3 linked regions of the Caenorhabditis elegans genome follow. The protein of the gene in region 2 purifies or fractionates together with the protein of the main gene of each other region. This does not show direct contact. Each region holds a gene or a part of one and is shown on either strand. Other genes may lie near its edges.

Evidence for each region. The genes of interacting proteins can lie anywhere in the genome.
Region 1: the proteins of cye-1 (region 2) and C08B6.10 fractionate together in Caenorhabditis elegans (co-fractionation; one large-scale study listed by BioGRID). This does not show direct contact.
Region 3: the proteins of cye-1 (region 2) and T06E6.10 fractionate together in Caenorhabditis elegans (co-fractionation; one large-scale study listed by BioGRID). This does not show direct contact.

The regions. Positions count from the first base shown.
Region 1 is NC_003283.11:10,122,159-10,129,554, forward strand, and holds C08B6.10 (Proline-rich proteoglycan 2-like), read left to right. Parts: upstream 1-3,339; 5' UTR 3,340-3,368; coding exon 3,369-3,433; intron 3,434-4,963; coding exon 4,964-5,321; 3' UTR 5,322-5,412; downstream 5,413-7,396. Other genes in the region: srxa-19 (G_PROTEIN_RECEP_F1_2 domain-containing protein), read right to left, coding at 1-300, 519-612; C08B6.6 (uncharacterized protein), read left to right, coding at 1,480-1,539, 1,585-1,735, 1,778-1,839, 1,884-2,036, 2,084-2,237, 2,455-2,531; SUMO-activating enzyme subunit aos-1, read right to left, coding at 5,522-5,684, 7,106-7,396.
Region 2 is NC_003279.8:6,777,321-6,786,172, forward strand, and holds cye-1 (G1/S-specific cyclin-E), read left to right. Parts: upstream 1-3,485; 5' UTR 3,486-3,500; coding exon 3,501-3,577; intron 3,578-3,666; coding exon 3,667-3,811; intron 3,812-4,482; exon of another isoform or gene 4,483-4,554; intron 4,555-4,670; coding exon 4,671-4,749; intron 4,750-4,792; coding exon 4,793-5,065; intron 5,066-5,199; coding exon 5,200-5,588; intron 5,589-5,847; coding exon 5,848-6,021; intron 6,022-6,062; coding exon 6,063-6,434; intron 6,435-6,494; coding exon 6,495-6,560; 3' UTR 6,561-7,076; downstream 7,077-8,852. Other genes in the region: pqn-21 (C2H2-type domain-containing protein), read right to left, coding at 1-62, 184-482, 1,196-1,434, 1,488-1,691, 2,118-2,327, 2,448-2,586; acdh-5 (medium-chain acyl-CoA dehydrogenase), read left to right, coding at 7,588-7,606, 7,781-8,098, 8,430-8,564, 8,612-8,852. UniProt on the Caenorhabditis elegans protein: Essential for the control of the cell cycle at the G1/S (start) transition. In association with cdk-2, regulates proliferation, quiescent state and cell fate during the development of several cell lineages.
Region 3 is NC_003283.11:15,415,244-15,421,385, forward strand, and holds T06E6.10 (TIL domain-containing protein), read left to right. Parts: upstream 1-2,878; 5' UTR 2,879-2,910; coding exon 2,911-2,959; intron 2,960-3,009; coding exon 3,010-3,120; intron 3,121-3,168; coding exon 3,169-3,241; intron 3,242-3,379; coding exon 3,380-3,564; intron 3,565-3,671; coding exon 3,672-3,744; intron 3,745-3,788; coding exon 3,789-3,918; intron 3,919-3,961; coding exon 3,962-4,090; 3' UTR 4,091-4,158; downstream 4,159-6,142. Other genes in the region: srh-264 (Serpentine Receptor, class H), read left to right, coding at 1-106; srh-265 (Serpentine Receptor, class H), read left to right, coding at 1,008-1,314, 1,373-1,557, 1,814-2,044, 2,092-2,373.

The sequences.
Region 1 (7,396 bases), on a different chromosome or scaffold from region 2:
ATGCCAGTATCCAAATACCAACTCCAAAGAATGTAACAGTTTCAGAGTCGAAAAATTTACTGAATCTGGGATTTATAATGCACACGAATCGATTGGCAGCCATTAAAAATGTCATAATATATCGAATTGTGTTGACTGTCCACATTTGAAGAGTCATAAATAAAACACAGACTGATTCGAGAAAATGAAGAGATGATTCATCTTCTGCTTCAAGAACATACTCGACCGAAAAATGTTGGCAGAAGTTCAGAACCAGTTCAACCCAGATCATATGAGTTATGTAACCTTTAGTTTTTATTACTGAAGAAATAACATATACATACATAGTTAACATTTTTGATCAAATTATTAAAAATTTATATAGTTTTGCTGCAGTACAAGAGCAGAACATATATATCTAAAACTTGGTTTCTTTAATGAAGAACAAAAATCACAGTATTCTATTAATTTTTCTATTTTTTAATCAAATTTCCAATATCGTACTGTCGGTAAATGCATTAAATAAAACAATGAATTACCTTTACTATTTTTAGCCACTACATATAAAAGAATAATATTGAAGGAATAACTGAATAAATGAGTGGCATATGTCAATATCTTAATCCAATCCATGAATTCTTTAAGAACTTGATTTTCAATTAGAAAATGCTCAGAAGAGCTCACTCTGATCAGAGTAGTTTTTGACTGAAATGACCTGAAAGTGCAATTCTTCATTTACATTGTATCCTCATGCTGCCTATAAATAATACAATAATTGTTGTCAAAATTATAAAACTGGAGCTTGCAGCTATCGGCTACATAACATTTGAAACTATCATTCAGATGAAGAGGCGTATTTTCGAAAAGGAAAGAGCAAATGCACATTTTTATATGCTTTGGGTAGATGAAGTCTTTTTTTCTTTTTTCAAGACATGATGAGTTTTTTGCAGCTTTTGTTAACGGAATAATTGAATGTTACTAGGAAAAATATTCAATCCAAAAGGAAACATTGGCTGCGAGCCTCTATCAAAAATCTCGAGGAACTGAATATTAATAGAAATTATGTAACGTAACTTTACTAACTGAAACATCAAAAATGTTTGAAACCCCTGGAAACAGTATTCTACAACATTTCATTTGAGGCTTCTGTGGCAAGTCAGCTTACCTGTTTATTGAATGCGTCTGACAATTGAGCTGTGTGAGCTCTACATTTTGGTGTGCACATTTTCTATATGTTTTCTCTTTAATAATATTGTTTCAATTTCAAATAATAACCCAAAAAAATTAAGTTCAAGTGAGCTCTGGCAGTAGGCACGACGCAGGCATAGGCTGGCTTAAAAGCAGTTCATGACCCATTTTGTGTATCCTTACTTTTAACCTATCAGTAGTATTTAAAGCGTACTAGATTAAATGTGATAAAAAACTTAGCGGATTTTTCACGTAAACTTATAATGTTCTTAAAAGGATATCTGTTCATTTTTATTTGAAAGCTTTTTAAAAATGCCAAAAGTTGCTTTTATTCTAATAATTAGCTATTTATTATTTTATAATAGTACATCGGTAAGTATTTTCCATCAAATTAGAAATCAAAATAAGTTTTCTCAGAAAACACTAGAGGACCTGAACTCGAAGTATTATGATTTTCAAGAATCCGACACAGATGTGAATTCTTTGGAACAACGAAAACTTATATCTTTTTTAAATTTCATGAAAGATAATGATCGAGAATTACTTATTAGTCGTATTAGAATTGATGGTAGGAATGAGTGAGAATGCTACTAATAAGAACTATGTTTAGAAGAAGACAATTCGCTGTCCAAATTTTTAGTGGATGCCTGGGAACTTGGCCATAATTTCCAGGTAAATGTGCAATACTTATCTTTATTATAACAGAAAACAATTAGTTTGAAACATTCTACAATCCAATTTACGTGTTATGTCGTTGTAATACTACAAATACACTTCACAGAAGGGAAGGAGTTGTCCTGGAAGTGGTGGCTAAAAACGAAAAATCTGATAAATTTGAACGTCATAAGTGGATCGCCATTTTTCTTTCCGTGAGATTGTCGTGAATATTCGATAACTATTTGATATTCTATTTCAGGAAAAAGAAACAGGATACTATCTAGAATACGTGGAACATCTTGGTTCGATTAAATTAGAAAATGTGAATTCGGAATTTGAATCCGTGTTTATTATTAATTCTATTTATGAATGTCCGAGTCATAAGCAGTTTTCAATGAATACAAAAAACTCAGGTGTGTTCTTATTTTGTAATTTACTTTACACAAAATACGAACGAACTGTCAGACTGTCATATATTGCGGAATTTCCGTTTAAGATGATTAACTAAATCTTTGAAAATTAAATGAATAGAATACAAATTAGAAAAAAATGAAAACAAGCTCGGCAATGATAGAAATTAGGCTTGATGACTAGGATTTCAAAACCTTCCTCAAATATTTAAATTTTCAGGCAAATTCCAAAACCGAGATAATATTATTTCAAAACACATTGAACACGAGTGGACCGAAAGAGAATACGAAGTATGAATAGAACGTGTTTCGAATTCTCATCTAGTTACTTTTACTATTATACCTGATTTTATTTTCACACGACATTTTTCATAATATTTGAAGAGAATAGAATAAATATCTTGTTTTGATTTTCTGATATACAAATGATATTAATTATTAATGCAACGAAACTACATTGATGAATGAAATATCTATCATTTCAGTTTTGTACATGAGAATATGTATTCCCAGAAGGCAGATAACGTTAGCCTTCCTATAAGGTTACCTGCCAAAGGGCACTTTTAAGAATCTGTTATCTCTCATTCAAATCGTGACGTGTATTATCAATTTGCAAGGCATAAACTAAAGAGGCTCGAAAACGCGATAAGACTATCCTAGAAAATTAGCGTGGCTTATAAAAGTGGAGTGTCGACAGTTGTTCAAAACCACTTCATGGTATTTACTAAAATAACATAAAAACATGTTTAAACGTTTCAAAAACATTTTTGGTTTTTTTTAAATACACAGTCAACAGTTTTTGCAAGAGTACACGTCCCGTAAAATCCCCACTATCAATTTTATATTCTACAAAATTAAGGAAACTTTCGTCTTTTGTAGTTCATATAAGTTTATTCTATTTTTCATCTCCAATCACACAAATCACATCATATTAACTTATTTTCTTTCTCTTTGTCTCGTTCTGATTTGTACATTCCAATTACAATGTCATTCGTTATTCTTAGTCTTCTTCTTCTTCGGTTAATGATCGAACTTGGTGGGCAGGGCACACAAATAGAATGCTTCTCTTTTCTTTCTTCTATTTTTTTTTTCGTTTCAATTCTCAAGAACTAATGGACAAACGAAGACGGTAAAATGATTCAACGAAAATGTGTTTTGGCATTGATTTTTATTTTTTGTGTTCGTGAATCTGAACAGAGGTTAGTTTTTTGTTTTGCTTTTCGTTTGATTATGTTTTCAATTTTTTATTTCGAGAACACGAAATTCTGTGAATGTGTATTGCGTAATATATCTCGTTGCGAAAACTACAGTAATTCTTTAAATGGCTACTGTAACGCTCATGTTACGAGTTCAATTTTAAAAAATTTTTGAAATAAATCATTACTCTCAATAGAATATGGGAAATCATGCAAAAAATGAGAAAATAATACGAAGAAACTATTTATGGACAATGGAATATCGATGTCCCTTTTCGAAAAGAAATTCATTACACAAATCGAGCCCATAATTTGACAAAAGCGTTATTTATGGTACAGTTTTGAAGAAGTACTGTAGTTTTCGCTATGGGATATTGTCAAATATGTTGCGCAATACGCATTTTCCGATTTTTGCGTTCCCATAAAAGTTTTAAAAATCGATAAATTAATAACGTTTAATTTATTGAGTATTTCTTGATAATAAAACAGTAAAAATATAATTGTTATGTGTCTTGTTACTCAATACCATCAGTGGTAAATGAGACTTTCAAATCTGGCAAATAGGTTTTTTTCGGAGAAAAAATTGGTTCAATGAGGTAACCAACACTTTTTAGTTCAGTATACAATTAATTCCCTCATTTATAAGTAATGATGTATTTTTTGGAAATCGTAGCGATATCAGAAACACAAACTGAAGTGTGTATTGAAAGTAACATTTTTACGAATACCGTATATCTTCTATTAATATGGCCTCCCTATTAGACTTGCACTCCCTATTAGTATTGCCCCTCGGAGACCTTCCGAAAATTAGTATGGCACTCCCTATTAGTCTTGCACTCCCTAATAGCCTTGCGTTTACTATTTTTTATTGCAGGCCCGTCTTGTTAACTTCAGGATTTCAACAAAAAAATTTGCCTATTTTGCAACAGTTTTTCACAACATTTCTACGAGATTGAAGTTTTTGAACTTATATGTTACAATTAAAGTCAAATTTTCTGAATTTTTACATAAGATTCGAGCTTTTTCAGAAAAAAAACTAGTAAGCTCAAAGTCAGAAAAATGTTCTGAAAATTAGTATTGCACTCCCTAATAGTCTTGCACTCCCTATTAGTATTGCAAGCGGGAAGTCCATCGAAAAATAGTATTGCAGCCATATTAATAGAAGAAACACGGTATATGATAAGCATTTTCTAAATTCCGTAGCGACTGAAACTTTGAAAAATTGCTAACAAATCATCATTTACTATATATAAAGCGCGTATTCCGTTTGTCCATAGTTTGTAGTCTATGTAGTCTTTGTAGTCTGCGAAGTTTTAGCTTCTGGAGGGATAGTGAGTTGGGGTTAGTGTAGGGATATAGTCGGGGTACTGTAGTGGTACAATGGTGGTACGGTAGGAGTACTGTATGATTACGGCAGTTTCAGAAAAATTGGTTTTCAGCTCCAGAAGTCGGGGGCCGCGCCGGAGGTGCGGTCCACGGCTGGTAAATAATATAAAAACAAAACATTATCAAAGTCCCAATAAATAATTTCAGAGGACCACCAGGTATTCCTTCGCCAGCCAATCCTACACCTTCAAATCCGGTAACCGCTGCTCCAATTAGACGGCAACCAACTGTAATACAAACAACATGGGCTCCACAGATACAGCAACCCCAGCAGCAGCTAGAGTCTCCACAGAATAATTGGGATCAACAACAGCAGTCAACAGATGAAGAATGGCGTCCTGATTGGAGAGACAGAGGACCTCCACCACCAGATTTTGATGGTTGGCATCATCATCATCACCATCGTCCACCTTGGATGCGGGGCCCTTGGTGGCGACGCCCGCCACCACCTTGGGGACCGCCTCCACCAGGGCCGCCTCCTCCATTCGGATGGAGAGGACTTTGAGAAATGTATACACATGATATCATTGTTCATAAACCATTGGTCATACACCGATATTCACACCAAGAATTAACAATAAAATGAATAACCAGAGAGATTGAGTTTTAAATTGATGAAAGTGATAAATTAAATTAAAAATGAGATTGAAAATTTGAGATTTGAGAACGGAAAAGAAGCCAACAGAAAACCATGAAAGCAATAAATTATACTGGTGGGAAATTGCACATAAAACCAGTTGATTCGAAGCCGGTATAGATGAACAAATTGCGAAGTGGATTCTTTCCTTCCGAAATTGATTTAATAGCTTCTTGTCCAATTACTCCACCGACACATGCTGCTGTTGGTCCAAAGTTTGGTCCGAACAAACTGAAAAATTACAATTTTGAAAATATTGCAAGTTTTTGCAATGGCAGCAGAACAAGAGTTTCGATTTTTGGACGTAACATTAAAATGGCATTATTGTAATTTCACAAGATTTTTACATACATTCTTAAAGGCGCACGGAGTTCTTTTAGATGGGTCTCAGCGCACAACAAAGTTAATGGTAGCTTTTCTTATCTTTGCGGCGGCTTCATTACATTTTTCAATGAACATATTAGGTCTCCAAATAAGTTCCGGGTCAAAAATCATAACTTTGTTCGCTGCGAATCGATTTTTATGAAACTGTGGGAATTTATGTTATCAACCATGATCTTTCATTTGGCAATAGTCACAAAATTTTTTGGCCGTCCGAAGTGCCCTAACTCGGAGCCAATTTTTTCAGGCATTTTTCAGATCTCGCTTCTTTTCAGGTTTCAATTGAGGTTTGTGTGCGGATTTTGCTTAGTTTAATACACAATGTAAGAAAACAAGAAAAGTTTGGAAAAAAATCCCTCCAAAAAAAAAATTTTTGTCGAAAATTTTTGCTTTTTTATACAAAAATGATGTAACCATGTGTAAACTATTTTTACACATACAAAACATTTCAATTTAGTGCGTCACACTGAAATAATAACAGAAAACACAGCTTTTTCGAATTTTTGGATTATTTCTCGAGATCCAAATATCATACTCAAATGTTTTGTATGTGTAAAAATAGTTTACACATGGTTACATCATTTTTGTATAAAAAAGCAAAAATTTTCGACAAAAATTTTTTTTTTGGAGGGATTTTTTTCCAAACTTTTCTTGTTTTCTTACATTGTGTATTAAACTAAGCAAAATCCGCACACAAACCTCAATTGAAACCTGAAAAGAAGCGAGATCTGAAAAATGCCTGAAAAAATTGGCTCCGAGTTAGGGCACTTCGGACGGCCAAAAAAAATTTGTGACTATTTGCAAATGAAAGATCATGGTTGATAACATAAATTCCCACAGTTTCATAAAAATCGATTCGCAGCGAACAAAGTTATGATTTTTGACCCGGAACTTATTTGGAGACCTAATATTTAGTAAATTTTTTTTTGCTTTAAATTTCATGAAAAACAGTTGATTTGTGCGTTAAAAACAAAATGACAAAATTCGTTAAAAATGAAGTAGTTTCATTGAAAAGTGCGAGAAAAAAATTGGAAGCAGACGCGAAAATTTGAAAAAAAAAACTACCATAAACCTTTTTTGCATATTTTTTGTTTTTTGATCAGAGCCCTGATCGAGACACATGAATAAGTCCGTGCGTCTTTAAGACGGAATGCTACCGTTTTTTGAAATTACGATACATTTTTAACTTGTTTTTTTAAATAATTAAAAAGATAATACATTCTATGTTTTTTATTGATTCATTTTATAATTTTCGTGCGAATAATACTCACTGATCAAATCGATCGGGTTGAACTGGTTGCATATCGATGGTATGATTTCCAGCGGCCACCTCCTCGTTCCAGATTGGAATTAATTTCTCAATATCGTTTTCAGTGACTCCGGTAAGTTTATTTTCGCTGGAAGCGCGGAGCATACTTTTCACGAGGAAATATGATGTTGGAACGATCCGTTTGCACTTTCTCACAATTTTCTTCGCCGTGAAATCAGAGTTGAGCGTTTCGACAAATGATGGATATGAAAACGTTTCAAGCACGAATTCTTCATCTACCGTAACCACTGTG
Region 2 (8,852 bases):
CGTCTTTCAGCACAGAACCACCACGAGCTCCACGACCATTTGAGCTTGCCGAGCTTGATCGTCTGAAATATGTTAACTATTTTTATTTTTAGCCAAAATGCAAACTATTGACTTTAGGAATTTGTAGTGAATAAACTTTATCAGCATTAATTTCACTATATGTCATTAATTATACCAACTCACCCATCTTTTCCTTCTTCATTTCCAGAACTACTTGCAGTTTTCTTTTTATTGTTATTGTTACCCATTGATGATGCAATATTGTTTGTCAATGAAGATGCCATTGGAGGTAGACCATCACCAATAAATCCAATAAGATCACATCCTTTTACACGGAATGCTAATGAATTCTTTGTTCGGTACATAACAGTAACCTCAAGAGTCATCTGGGATCCTGGTGGGGTATCCATTATTGCTTCATTGCATAAAAGACCAGATGTATCTGTTGATCGTGTTGTGATCACATTTGTTCCGATATCTCGCTGAAAAGTTGAATATAAAAATAATGAAATGTATAATTTTTCGTTTTTTAAAGTATTGATTCGTCTATTTGAATTCCCTGCAAAATGATAAGCCACGCCCACAAACGAAAAATCGTCTTCGAACTACGTTCATTCCGTCGATTATTGGTCTTGCAACTCACACTTTGGAGCAAATTCAAAACACTTACTAAAACTTAAAGAAAAACGTTTTGAAAGTAGAATTTCAACTTTTTCACTTAATATTTACTTTTCATTTGTGGTTTTTCGGAATTTCAGACTTACAGGCGCAATTTTGCTTTTGTTGCTCTAATATATGGTACCCGGTCTCGACGTGACAATTTTTTGTTAATTACAAGCATGTGTGTGCCTTTAAAGAGTACTGTACTTTAGAAATTTCGTTGTTGTTGAATTTTCATCGATTTTTCTCACAATTTGTGTTGAAATGTATGTGTTTTTAATTGTTTTTTAAAATTTTGTTATTAATAAATAAATATATTTTTATCGAAAACTAGGAAAAATCGATGAAAATTTTGCAGCAATGAGTTCTTAATTACAGTACTCTTTAAAGGCGCACACGTTGTTGTATTTAATAACATTGTCGTGTCGAGACCGGGTACCGTATTTCTGGTGCAAAAATCGCAATATTTCGCGTCTGTGGTGATGAAGCAAAATCTATTTTTTACAATTTTCAGAATTGATTTAATTTTTCTTACTTTTGCCCGTTTCGAATGTGGTGCAGTATCAGGTGTCTTCTGAATAGGCATCATTGGTACTGAAACTATGTCTTCGTCAGTGAAACATGCTGATATAGCAATGGTAGCCATATGAGAACTAGATCTTTTGGATCTTTGTGGAGTTGTTGAAAGGTTTGAAGATCCAGATGATGATGATGAAGAGGCAACTGTTTCAAGGCTTAACTTGCGTTTTTCACTCGAAAAAATATCTGTGGACTCTGAAATAATATTTAAATTTCAAAAAAAGCTCTTTAACTACGAAGATACAAACCTTTACGCTTTCTTTGAGCTTTTTCTGTGCTCTGTGGTGGTTTCATCAGTCCATTTTCCTTTTTGGAAGGTGTTGGACTTTTTGATGTTGTCATATCGGATGAAACAGGCGATTGAGCATGTTTCTCATCTGACATCTCTTCAACTTTTAAATCTTGTTCATCGATTAACTTCGGAGAGAATGATGATGTTGACTCAACGACAGCTGGAAAAATAAACCGTGTTTTTTCTTCAATAAATATTTTTTATCAAGTTTTTATGAGTATATTTACTTTTCTTGGACTCTCTGTTAAAATTTCGAACATTCTTCTTATATTGCGCTCATAATTTTTTTTTAAATGTTAATGAAGAGAGCTATTTGCAGTAGACTATCTAAGCAATTTAATTGTTAATTTTTAATTTTTAGTGCCTTCGCTTATCTATTTTGTTTTTAATAGCCTGAATTTCCATTTCCCTAGAGGATCTCTCGAAAGTTTTGAAATTATTTGAGCAGCTACGGTAGATGCGACTTTCGTGCATTTACGCGTGGCGGTGTTCACACTGATCCCAAAAATTTTTGTTTGAAATAAATTGCTTTTTTTTCGCAATCTTTCATTCTTATTCATTGCTTTTCCGTTTACCATTTTCATACCATTTTCATCTGTTTTTTCCACTTTTAAAAATTCTTCTCGCATTTTATCAGTAGGCTCGGATATTTGTTCGTCTTTGACAAGATCTTCTGGTTTTTCATCAATTTCTAGTTGTATTTCTTCATCAATTTCCATTGGTTCAATATCATCATTCTCATCATCCTCATCTAACTCGCCGTCTTCTTTTCCAGAAGTTTCCGCTTGATCGTGAGCTAAATGCAATAATTTTCAAGATTTACGAGAAATATTTTTTTTTTCTTAAAAAAAATTTCAAACGAAATTTCAAAAAATTATTTAGAAGTTTTTGTTAATCATTGAAACAAATAACGTACCGTCATAAGTTGTTTGAAATTCGGGGGTTTCCTGCAACGGTGGAGGAAGAGGTGGGGGCGCTGAAATCGATGGTTTGTCTTCCGAATCGGACGGACTTTCATCGATCTGTAGACGACCCTCGTCCTCATCGTCTGACATGTTGCTGAAAATTTGAAAATTAAAATTTTACAAAAGATTTAATTAAAGCAATAATCAAATTTTTAAAATACAATTTGAAATGAGAGAAATTTTAAAAATAATAGATATAGTTTTGAAGGTTTTGATACTTGAAAAACGTTATCCTTATTTGGTAGCTTATGAAAACAAAACAAAAACAACTGCAAGATGTGTTTCGGATGTTTTTTCTTCATTCTCTCAATTGTCTGACATCTCCGGAGGCAGTTGCTGTGCCCTCTATTGGTACGTGTCGATTGCCTGCGTCTCTGTGTCAAGAGGCACCCTCTCATCTCTCTGGAGACGGCAGAGAAACATGAGATCGTGGTAAGACCATCAGGGAGGACGGCGGCAAATCGGAGGGAACGCGCGAAATGAGCGCGCGATTTGAATCTAGAGACCATATGACGGAGGTTGTCTGTAGTTGACCTTTTTCGGTTTTATCTGAACTTTCACAGATTGATTGCGTAATGTCCACTAGACATTCGTTATGGTATAATTGATATTTCTTTATTAATTTTCATTAAATATCAGATATCAATCTCTAAATTTCAAGCATAGAAAGTATCGTGCAAACATGAACAGTTTCATGAGCTCAGTTTATATTTTAAATTCACACCTAATTCAAATCTTAAATAATTTTTAATGGAATAACTGCAAATCTAAATCTAAAACCAAAACGACCTTCATTCACTTGTACCAAATCTTATCTGATTTTATGAATTTAAAATCTTATTCTTCTTCACCTCTGACTGATAGTTTATGTTCTCCCTATTGTGTACACTCAAAACTGCACAACATTTGTTATTTGAGCCAGTTTCAGTCGTTATCTTCCTATTTATTTGTTTTTGAATATTTTGAATAGCTCGACTTGATATTTTCAGGGAAATTTGATCAAAATGGCTGGAAGAAAGTCATCAAGGACGGCTGAACGTGTCCCCACTACACAAAAGCCAGAAAGAAAATCTGCTATTTTGTAAGTTGAATTTAGATGGATATTAGAGAACTGATAATTTTTAGACTTTATAAATATTTATTCATCTTTCGAAAAATTTTAATTTTCAGATCTCCACATGACGAACTGCGTGAACGTCTTCTGGAGACTGCAATTGATATGAAGGAAAATATTCCACAACGAAATACCCGAAATTCGAGCGTTGGAAGTCAGAAATCAGATTGTTCTGAGACAAGAAAACGACGAAGTACTAAGGTTTGTGTGCTTATCAGTGAACATTTTAAGATGGAACAAGGGAAATGAAATAGAGAGTGATAAGAAAAGTACTTTTTTAAATTATAATATTACTACTTGTACAAATGCCTAAAGAGATTTTTGCTTCTAATTTTTCGAAAACCGTAAGAAAAACTGTCAAACGATTGCGGATTGTTACTAAGCTGAATGGGGGTAAGGAATACATTTTAATTTGCCAACAAAATTAGCAAATATTTCTAGATTTAAACACATTTTGCTATATTTTCAGTTTTGAATTTAACTTATTTAGGTAACAGCATTCATCCAGAAACACAATGTCTAACAAATTAATTGAATTTCGTGGGTAACTAACTAACAGTCAAACGCTCAATATTGAGTAGTCTGGGTTCTACAGGAAACATCTCTCGTTAAATAATTTGCAAACAAAGTTTGCACTGAGAAACAGACACTTTGTATTTGACCAGTGTAATAGTGCGCCAAAATGTACTCATTCTCCCGTTTTCTTTTTTCTTCTCTCATCTCATGTTCACACCAGCACCTCAGATTTGCGAGAAAATAAGACGCAGACATCGATAGTCATAGTGACCAGTCTCTTTCGTATGCAGAACACAGTTTTGTGTCCGCTTTGTATGTCCAATACTTGTTTGCCGTCTGAGTCTCACTGTTCATCTGGGGGTATAGCTCAGTGGCAGAGCATTCGACTGCAGATCGAGAGGTCCCTGGTTCAACTCCGGGTGCCCCCTAAATACTTTTTGCATTTTGGCTTCTGCTTAGAATCATGACGATCAAATAAGTTTCCTAAATTTGAACAAAATTATATAGTGGTTCAATCTTGTTTGATAATTTATTAATTTTACAGGAAGGTCCAGCTGCAAAACGTCATTCGGGCGAGAAGCATCGAAATGGTAGCCGCGAAGATTCTTTGGAGTATATTAGTGGTAATCTAGTTTTATTAGAGTAAAAATGATATTCTGTTTGAAGAATATTCAGATGATCGTGAAGTTGGATCTTCATCATCACAATCATCAAGAACCCGTGGACAACCACTTCCAGCTATGCCTGAGGAAGAAGAAGTGTTTGATAAATCATCTTCATCTGATAATCTTGCCGAATCTGAAGAAAGTCATGAGATGGTCCGATTGGAAGAGAGACAGGATATTGAAGAAGAAATTGAGGATGATTTTGATGATGAAGAGGAGGATGTTGTTAACGATAAAGAGGAGTACGAAGAAATTGAATCTGAAGATGAAGATGGTTAGTTTCAAAAATACTCATGATGCGTTTGAAATTATTAGCATTTTAGATCAAAATTTGATAAAAAATAGTGTCTCCAAAGAGAGTATCAGTGTTTCAAGCTGAAAAACCTACCCAATTTTGATACAATTTAGATTATCCTGTCCAAAACGAAGGATTTGCCGTTACAAAACGGCTCATGAACGACGAACATATGGTTACGGCTCCAACGTTTCTCAGCACAGCAAAATGCGATGGAATAGGATCACCAACAAAAGTTTGGTCTCTTATGGTCAAACGAGACGAAATTCCACGTGCTACACGATTCTTGCTTGGAAATCATCCGGATATGGATGATGAAAAGCGACGTATTTTAATTGATTGGATGATGGAAGTGTGTGAATCAGAAAAATTGCACCGAGAAACATTTCATTTGGCTGTTGATTATGTTGATAGATATTTAGAGTCATCAAATGTTGAATGTTCAACGGATAATTTTCAATTGGTCGGGACGGCTGCTCTATTTATAGCTGCTAAATACGAGGTAACAATCAGGGGTTTCACTGACACATTTTTCGTTTTTTTTTTTTAGCAAAACCGAAAAAAATTCTAAAACACTTCAAAATCGATAGTTCTCAAACGGAATTAAATATTTATATTACGATTTACACCCTTTTTCAAAAATCCAAAAAAACCGGCAAGCCTGGTAATAATTTTAATAAAATATTTCACCGATCTAGAATTTGGGTTCAATTAATTTTTTCACAGTATAGATTCACATTAATTTTTGTTTTTTTTTTCAGGAAATTTATCCACCTAAGTGCATCGATTTTGCTCATCTCACCGATAGTGCATTCACCTGTGATAATATTCGAACTATGGAAGTTCTTATCGTCAAGTATATTGGGTGGAGTCTTGGGCCAATCACAAGTATTCAATGGCTCTCAACATATCTTCAATTACTCGGAACCGGCAAAGTAGGATTTTAAATTTTTTGTTGATTAAAATATTTTTTCAGAAGAACAAGTCTGATCACTACGAAGAGCAAAACATGTACGTGCCAGAATTACTCCGTTCAGAATATCTTGAAATGTGTAAAATTCTCGATTTTCTGCTATTTGAGATCGACTCATTTACTTTCTCCTATCGTACCATCGCTGCTGCTGTTCTTTTTGTCAACTATGAGCCAACTTGTGCTGTTGAGAAGGCTACCGGATTTATGCAGGCTCAACTTGAAAAAGTTATTGAATATGTTGAACCGGTGTGCCGGGCGTTCGCCAAACAACGACAACTTCTTGACGATGTTATTCCAAAACATGAATCAATAAAATCGGATGATTCACACAATATTCAAGTATACGTTAAAAGGAGTTCAATGGAACCTATTGTGGTAGGTGGATATATAAAATTCATGAATTAGAGGTTGTTTTCATAATTTTTATTTTTCCAGAAAAGCGAACGAGAGAGGATTCAGCATTTAAAAGCTCGCCGTCTTCATCCGCAACGACTTTTCTAAAATAACCCGCAATAGGATTCTTTTATCATCGAAATTTCTGTAGATTACTTACTTCAAATAATCATGCACACAGGTTGTCCCCGTTAATTCTTTCCTTCAATCTCTTTCTCTCTTTCACCTAGTCTGTGCCATTTCAATATGATTGCACCCCGGAAAATATCAAAAACTTCACTTAACAAGTGATCCCATATTACAAAAATATTCAAATTCCGAAAATCGAAAGATGCATTTCCGTTTTATTTTACCGAATTTTGATGTTTTTGTAATGTGTTTAAACCCCTTTTACAATTAACTTATTAATGTTTTGTTTTACTCATCTCACTTCCCCTTCTTACTTTGTGCTTATTTTATGTTTTAGGTTTTTTTATTGTATCATAAAACTGGAAATTTTGAAATAGGCTTCTTTCTCCCTAAACTTTTTTAACAGGTACTGTAACTGGTACATATCCTCTGCCCCACCCCGCTCCCAACTCGTCTTTGTCTGTTTGTTTATACGAAATACAATTTTTAACGAGTATGCGGGTTTCTGTTAGCTTCAACAATACGATCATTCAAATTTTAAAATTAAGAAACTATAAAAGCACAGTATTTACGTGAGTTGAAACAAAATGCCTTCTCCAAATTTCTTAACACTGAAAAATTTTCGGAAAAAAAGCAGAAATTACTCCGCAAAAAATTAAGGACATCATTCCAATATTTTTTTTTACTTATTTGATGAAAAATTAATATATTCCAATAAATTAAAATGAATTATCATCTCAGGAATACTGTAGAATTACTTTAAGATTTTGGCTTATTTATATTAAGTGGTACGGTAGGGGTACTGTAGGTGTATTGCAGAGTTGTAGACACTGTAAATGAAATTCCAAAGAGCATAAAATTTATCAAAAAAAAGTTTGCGTGAATTTCTAATTAATGTTTAATCTTCTTTTTTTGTTAAAATTTGTTCAGGGTTTCTTATCAAAAAATGAATCATTATTTAGTTTCTTGGCTAAAACACTACTCATCTTCGTAGTTTCTTGCCGTGATGTTTCAAGCTTTGTTAAGTAAGTTTGAGTGAATTTCTGGTTTTGGTGGAATTTATTCTGATATCGAAAGCTCTATGTCTATTCAATCAATTGATGAAAATGCGTAAATAGGGAACTATGCACACACGGCGGCTCAGACTGATGAAGCTTTTCTAGTTTTGGAGAATGAGGTCTAATTGAGCAAATTTTCAGCAAAACTCAAAAATAATGCGGCTTTGGGAGCAGCTGCAAATAACTTGAACAAGTTCAGAAGTTCGAATCTTGGTAATCAGAGACGTTCTGTCTCAGTTGCTGTGACATCAACATCTCCGAAATCGGAAAAGCCAGTAGCCAGGGAACATATGATTTATGATGAAACTCATTTTGTCATGCAGAAGAGTTTGGGAAAACTTATCGAAGAAAAAATCAATCCAAATGTGGCAAAATGGGAACAAGACGGGCGGTATCCAGCACATTTGGTATTCAAAATGCTTGGAGATCATGGTGTTTTTGGTGTTAATAAACCAGAAGGTAATACGCTTTTTTTAGCTAACTTGTTTTATTAATTAGTTATCCATGCAATATTATTATTTGATTGGACTTTTCAAAACGAAAAAGTGTTACCACAAAAAACCAAAAGCGTAGATTTCAGAACTTGGAAGAATAACTTCCAGGTTACAATTAGAATATCAGAACACCAACTTTTTGGGTTCTAAAAATGTCAAGAGCCTGTAAAACTACATCATTCTAAAATGTTAAAAAGATAGTACTGGTGGGAGGAAAACCTTAAAGATACAAAAAACTGCAAGAATAATAGAATTAATACGGTGTGTTATTTCTCATTTTTACCAACGATTTTTAGCATTTGGTGGAACTGGAACGGATATTGCAATGGCAACAGCAATTGCTGAGCAGATGGGAGCAATTAATTGTGGATCAATTCCAATGTCAGTTATGGTTCAGACTGATATGAGTACACCTGCACTTGCACAGTTTGGTGAGTATTTCCGTTTACCACCAAAATTAGAAATAATTGAATATTAGGTTCTGATGCTCTTCGCGAAAGATTCCTTCGTCCATCAATCACTGGAGATCTTGTCAGTTCATTGGCTGTATCTGAACCACATGCTGGATCCGATGTATCAGCTGTGCACACACACGCACGTCGTCAAGGATCTGACTTGATAATCAATGGTTCGAAAATGTGGATTACAAATGGTGGTCAGGCGGATTGGGCGTGTGTTCTTGTGAACACATCAAATACATCGAATGTTCATAAGAATAA
Region 3 (6,142 bases), on a different chromosome or scaffold from region 2:
GGTCAATAAATTTCAGTTACTTGGTACCTCGCTCGGTTGCTTGAAAAAGAAAAAAGTTGCGAATCAAACTGGAATTTTCATAACTAATCAGAACACATCTTTTTGATGATAAACTTATAAATACTGAGTCTGAACTTTTTTTAAAATTTTGTTTAAAATGAATTTAATAGATTTTAATTTGATCCTTTGACAAGATTTTCTTTCGTTCTGTTTTTTTTTCGCAGCATTGGAAATAGCAATGCTCTGGTTTTGAAGAAAATCTTTTTTTTTCGGAATTCGGAATACCATACATTTTCATTGGCAGCTCAAATAAAACTGGAATTTCCGTCAAATTCTGAACGATGAGTATCAATTTTTTGTGTTTATGATATTGTTCAGACATGAAAGAGTAAATTTTTAAAGTTGTCAGATATTAATTTTTGAACTCATGAAAACTGAATAAATCTCCCAATAAAAAAATGTGGTCATTTATATGCCTGAAGGTCAGTTTTTTGATTGAACTCTAATAGTAAGCTTCTGGCACCTAGAAAAATTTTGCAATAAAATTATGAAAGCGCTTAAAATTTGAAACAAACCCCCGGAGAAACATTTTCAAAAAAGTTAATTTTAAGTCAGCTATTAATTTTTAAACTTATGAAAACTGAGTGTTTGGTGTTGAAAAACTCATTTTTTTAGAATTTGAAATAAATGTTCATTGGCAGCTGAACTGGGAAATTCCGTGATGGTTTTGATACTATTTATGTATATGAAACAATTAGTTCATGAATAATTTTTTTGAAAATGTTCAGTATATTAACTAAAAATAAAGCACACACGAGCGTTATAATAAATAAGTTTTGCTAGATTTGTTAGATTCCAAAAAAGTAATGCCATATTTTGTACGAAACTGTGATTTTTGTTTCTGGGTGTTAGAAAACACCTGTCGAAACTTCAATATAAAATACTCCTTAAAAGCTCAGGTGAAACTTAAAAGTCTTATTGATCCCATTCTACTTTTTGATTCAAAAATGATGTTTATGGAAAGTCCGGATTTCTTATTTTATTCTCTACATGGAATGGGAGCTGTCACTTGCCCTCTCCAAATACTCGGTCTTTATTGCATTCTATTCAAAACACCACAAACAATGAATTCTGTCAAATGGGTACTTTTGAATTCTCATATTTGGTCCCTTATCTTCGATATAACAGTTACTGCACTAACCATCACATTTCTAGTTTTTCCAGTTCTCGGAACAGTTCCACTAGGTTTTCTAACGACATTATTCGGAGTTCCAATTGATATTCAGGCATATTTGGTGTTCACACTTCTATTCAGTATGACGCCACTCATTTTCAAACTCCACTTTTTAATCAAATTAATCTCAACTTTCAGCGGTCTTGTTCTCAGACATGCTGATCTTCGAAAATCGCTACTATCAATTATTTGCAAAAAACAAAAGTTGGCGGCACTTTCGCGTTCCATTCATTATCATTAATTATGGTGCCGTTGGAATTTTCATGCTTCCGACGTTTTTGAATACTCCTGATCAGTTACAAGCTATTGATTTAGCTTTCAAGGTGACCGTTTATTTGTAGTAGTAGCTGAACTAGGCTTTCTATATATGCTCCGACGAGGCGCTTCCGCCTGCCTTCGAGTTCCATCATCGGCTTTACGCCGTCACTAACGCCACCAGTTAGAACAAACTTAAAACTTTCTAGGTGAGAGATAGCTGACAATGTGCCGGGTAAATTTGGCATATGTTTATGTTAAGTTATCATAATTGAAATAAGTATAAACATGCATTTTAGCCAAATTATGAACAGTATATTTCAGCAAGTTCCGAACCTTCCCGTTGAACTCAGATCCATGAACTTTTTCATATGGGCAACAGATTTCAAACTTTTTCTGGGATCTTTCATCTTCATCACAGCATTTCAACTTACGGAATTTGTTCCTTTGATTTTAATAACTGATTGGAATGTGAGATCGTCAATCAAGAAATCAACGCAGTCACGGCAAACAATGCAACTTCAGTTGAAGTTCTTAATGGCTTTATATGCACAGGTGAGCCAAAAAAAAAACTCTCACCAAAGTTGAAATAATAAATTCAGAGCGGGGCATTTTTCTTGACTTGTTTTACTCCATACGTATATATGTTGTATTCTTGTTTCACAAACTACTACAATCCCATTGCCAACAATTTTATTTTCATTTTTGTGGCAGCACGTGGATCGTTCTGCACGGTAATTCTGCTCTCGGCATATAAGCCTTATAAGAAAGCAGTAGTCAATATCTTCCGGTTAATTAGCTCCTCGATCGGTTGTTTCAAAACTCAGCCAATTGTGAATCCAATAGGAATAATTATATCTAATCAAAATACTTCTTTGTTTTGATATATTGTATTCTAAAAAGCTAGCAAAAAAATGTTGCCAGTATACATTGTACCACTATAAATCACATTGAAAATCTACATGAAAACATTTTTCCGGTCCAGCCTAATTTTCAGTTTGAATTGTGGCTCATGAAACTTCTAATATGTTAATTTGTTATCAATTGATTCAATATTACACACAGACACGACAGTTGTCTTCAATAAACGTTTTAATTTTCTTCTTTTTTTTCACATAGCCCAACTGACCTTCTTGAACTTTGTTCAGCCAATTTTTTTTCATTACAAGCAGGCTTAGAGAGAGAGACAGATATTTCTTCTTCAACGAGTGATGTTTCTGACTTGTGATTTGTTACCTTCATCAGTAAACGGGCGACATAGTGTACGCCTAATCTTTTTTTTTAATATAAAAATATATATTTGAATTCATTTGTTATAAACTATTAAAAAATGTTTTATAGAATCGTTTTTAAAAAATACCATAAAATTTATAAAAACTTAATACAATTCAATTTTTTAGGTGATTCTGGTGCTACTAGCCATGATTTTGTTGATACTTCTGAGCTCTTTGATCATGGGAGCAAGTACAGGTGAGAGTTTTGAAAAATGTGCCTGCAACTGACATACAACCTTTTTTCAGGAAAAACTGGAATAACTTGCGCCAATGTTAGATGTGGAAGCCCTGGAGGCTGTGGAATGGTTGCTAGTTGCCCGGACTGTGAGCCAGGACCAGAGTGCTTGGAAAAGAATGGTAAGCGGTTCGGAGAAAAAAAACGTATTTTAAATTCAAAAATTTCAGATTGCAATACCAAAAGCTGTGCTCCAACAGAGGAATGTGTATTGGTCCAAGTAACCTGTATTATGGCGCCATGGTGGGAATTTTTTAAACGAAACTATTTTTAGTGATTTTTAAAAATGACCGGTAAGATGTCGGCTGCGAGGGATAAAATAACAAATTCTCCATTTTTTAAAACTAATTTTCAAATGATCCGAAAATCAATGAGTTTTAGCTACCCAATCGCTGAATGTCGTCCGAAAAAAACACAAATCCGCAAGCGTCGTCAAGTGGGAACAAGTTGTAAAGATGTTCGATGTGACACGCCAGCCGGATGTGCGATGGTTAGGCCAAGTGGATGTATGGATTCGCCTACAATGACCGGATGCGAGCTTAAACCGACTTGTATTCATGTAAATGGTGAGTGCTTGGAAGATTTCAGCTGCTGCACTTAATAAGTCGGTCGCAACTTCTTAGGTGCCAGCTTCTACCCTCAATGTGTCGGTGGCGTATTTCTGAATTTCCAGCTTGTACAACCACAAAATGTTCACCCGGCAAGAAGTGTGCTCTTCACACTGTTCAATGCTTTACCACACCCTGGTAGGTACTTTTTTTTAAAATTGTTTTTATTGTTCATGTTCCAGTGACCCAGTAGCAAAATGCGAGACTCCACTTAACTTTTTATCGGAGCCATTCAATCCAGGATGCGGTCCGAATGAGCATTTTGTTGGGTGCAAAAATATTTGCTCTGACACCAAGTGCAATGAAAAACGGGTACGTGGATCAATGAAAAATTCGAGAAAAACAATTTTTGCAGAAAATGTGCCCAGCGGTGTGCACTTTTCCCGGATGCGTCTGTCTGAATGGATTTTTCCGCGATAAACATGACAAATGTGTTACCCAGGAAGAGTGTGATGAGCAGAAGAGGAAAAGTATTAAATCGTAACTAGAAAGAACTTTTTTATTTCCAAATATTTTGCTGAAACTATAATAAACTGCCCAATTTTTTCTAAAGTTGCCAAATGGATTTTCAGATGTTGTTTTCTGTAAACCTTCAAGGCTCAAGTAATCATTGTGTTTGACTTTGCCAGTTTCGTTAAGAAAATGCCATAAAAGAGGACGATTTTGAACGTATAAACTCCAATGTGCTCAAATTGGCGAATTTTGAATTGAGACTTCTCAATATTTTTTAAAAATGATCTAATGGCCGAGTCTATACGTTCAAATTTCCTCCGAACCATTAGTCCTCCTATAATTCCAGGATTCCAAAAACGGTACGTGATCTTGAAACATTATGATTTCTGTTTCTCGGTGCACGGAAACATCTGTCGCAATACTTTAACCACCAAAACGAGGTACGCCTCTGAAGCTCAGGTGAAATTCAACTCAAGTTGTATGAAAATTAATCTCCTTCATATTATATTGAAAAATTATGTTTATGGAAAGCCCGGACTTTCTTTTCTATACTCTACACAGTATGGGCGCTTTTACGTGACCTCTTCAAGTATTTGGACTTTATTGTATTCTATTCAAAACTCCACAAGCAATGAAATCGGTAAAATGGGTTCTATTCAATGCTCATATTTGGTCTATCCTATTTGATATATCACTTACTGCATTAACCATTCCATTTCTAGTGTTCCCAGTTCTCGGAGCAGTCCCTTTAGGCTTTTTAACGACATTATTCGGAGTTCCAATTGGCATTCAGGCGTATTTGGTGTTTACACTTTTATTCGGTATGACATTAATTATGTTTAATTCAATGTTAGTGTTCAAAAATGTACAGTTTTGAAAGTTGAAAATATGTTTTTGTCTATTTTCAGCTGTGTTGTACTCCGATCTGTTGATCTTCGAAAACCGTTATTACCAGTTTTTTGGCAAAAATAAGGCTTGGCGTCACTTTCGAATACCGATGATGATTTTCAATTACACCTTCGTTGGAACGTTTATGCTACCCACGTTTTTGAATACTCCTGATCAGTTACAAGCAATTGACTTAGCATTCAAGGTTATTGTTTTTATTTTAAAATATGTCTTAAAGGTGGAGTAGCGTCAGTGGGGATTTTGTCTAAATGCACTTATAATGATCCAAAACAATTGACTATCATAATAAAAAACTGAAAAAATTTTAGATTTTCCATAATTTCCGGTTAAAGTTTTGGCAAATTGACAAAATTTTGGAAAATACGAGTTTTTGAGGAAATTTTAAGAAATGCCGCATGTTTCGACAACTACAATGTTTTAATACAAATAATTTAAACAAAATAAAAACATAAAAACTGTCGAAAATTTTTTTTTGGTCAACTTCCAAAATTATGAGTGGCAAAAACTGAGTAATTGCCACTTTTTGACAGTAAATAAAAAATTTTCAAAATTTTTTGAAAAGTTTTATCATGATATTTGGTCATTTTGGGACCAATGAAGTGGGTTTTAACAATTTCCCCACTGGCGCTACTCAACCTTTAACAAACTATTGCAACTTTACCCGTAAAGATTTTTTACCACTAAATTTTAGTACAAAAGTGGCAGACACAAAACTGTAAGTAGTCTGAATTTCAGAAAGTTCCAAATCTTCCAGTCAAAATTCGTTCCATGGATTTTTTCATCTGGGCGACAGATTATCCATTATTTCTGGGATCTTTTGTTTTTATCACCGTTTTAGGACTTGCTGAACTTATTCCCATGATTATGATAACTGATTGGAATGTGAGAACATCAATGAAGAAATCTACACAGTCACGGCAAACAATGCAGCTTCAGTTGAAATTTTTATTGGCTCTTTATGCACAGGTATTCTTATCCTAGTATGGATGAACATATTGTTTAAAAATGTTTAGAGCGGCGCATTTTTCCTGACTTGTCTCATTCCCTACGTATACATACTGTATTCTTGCTTTACAAGTTATTACAACCCCATTGCAAACAACTTCATATTCATTTTTGTGGCATCGCGTGGATGTGTTTGCACAATAATTCTGCTCTCTGCAAATAAACCTTA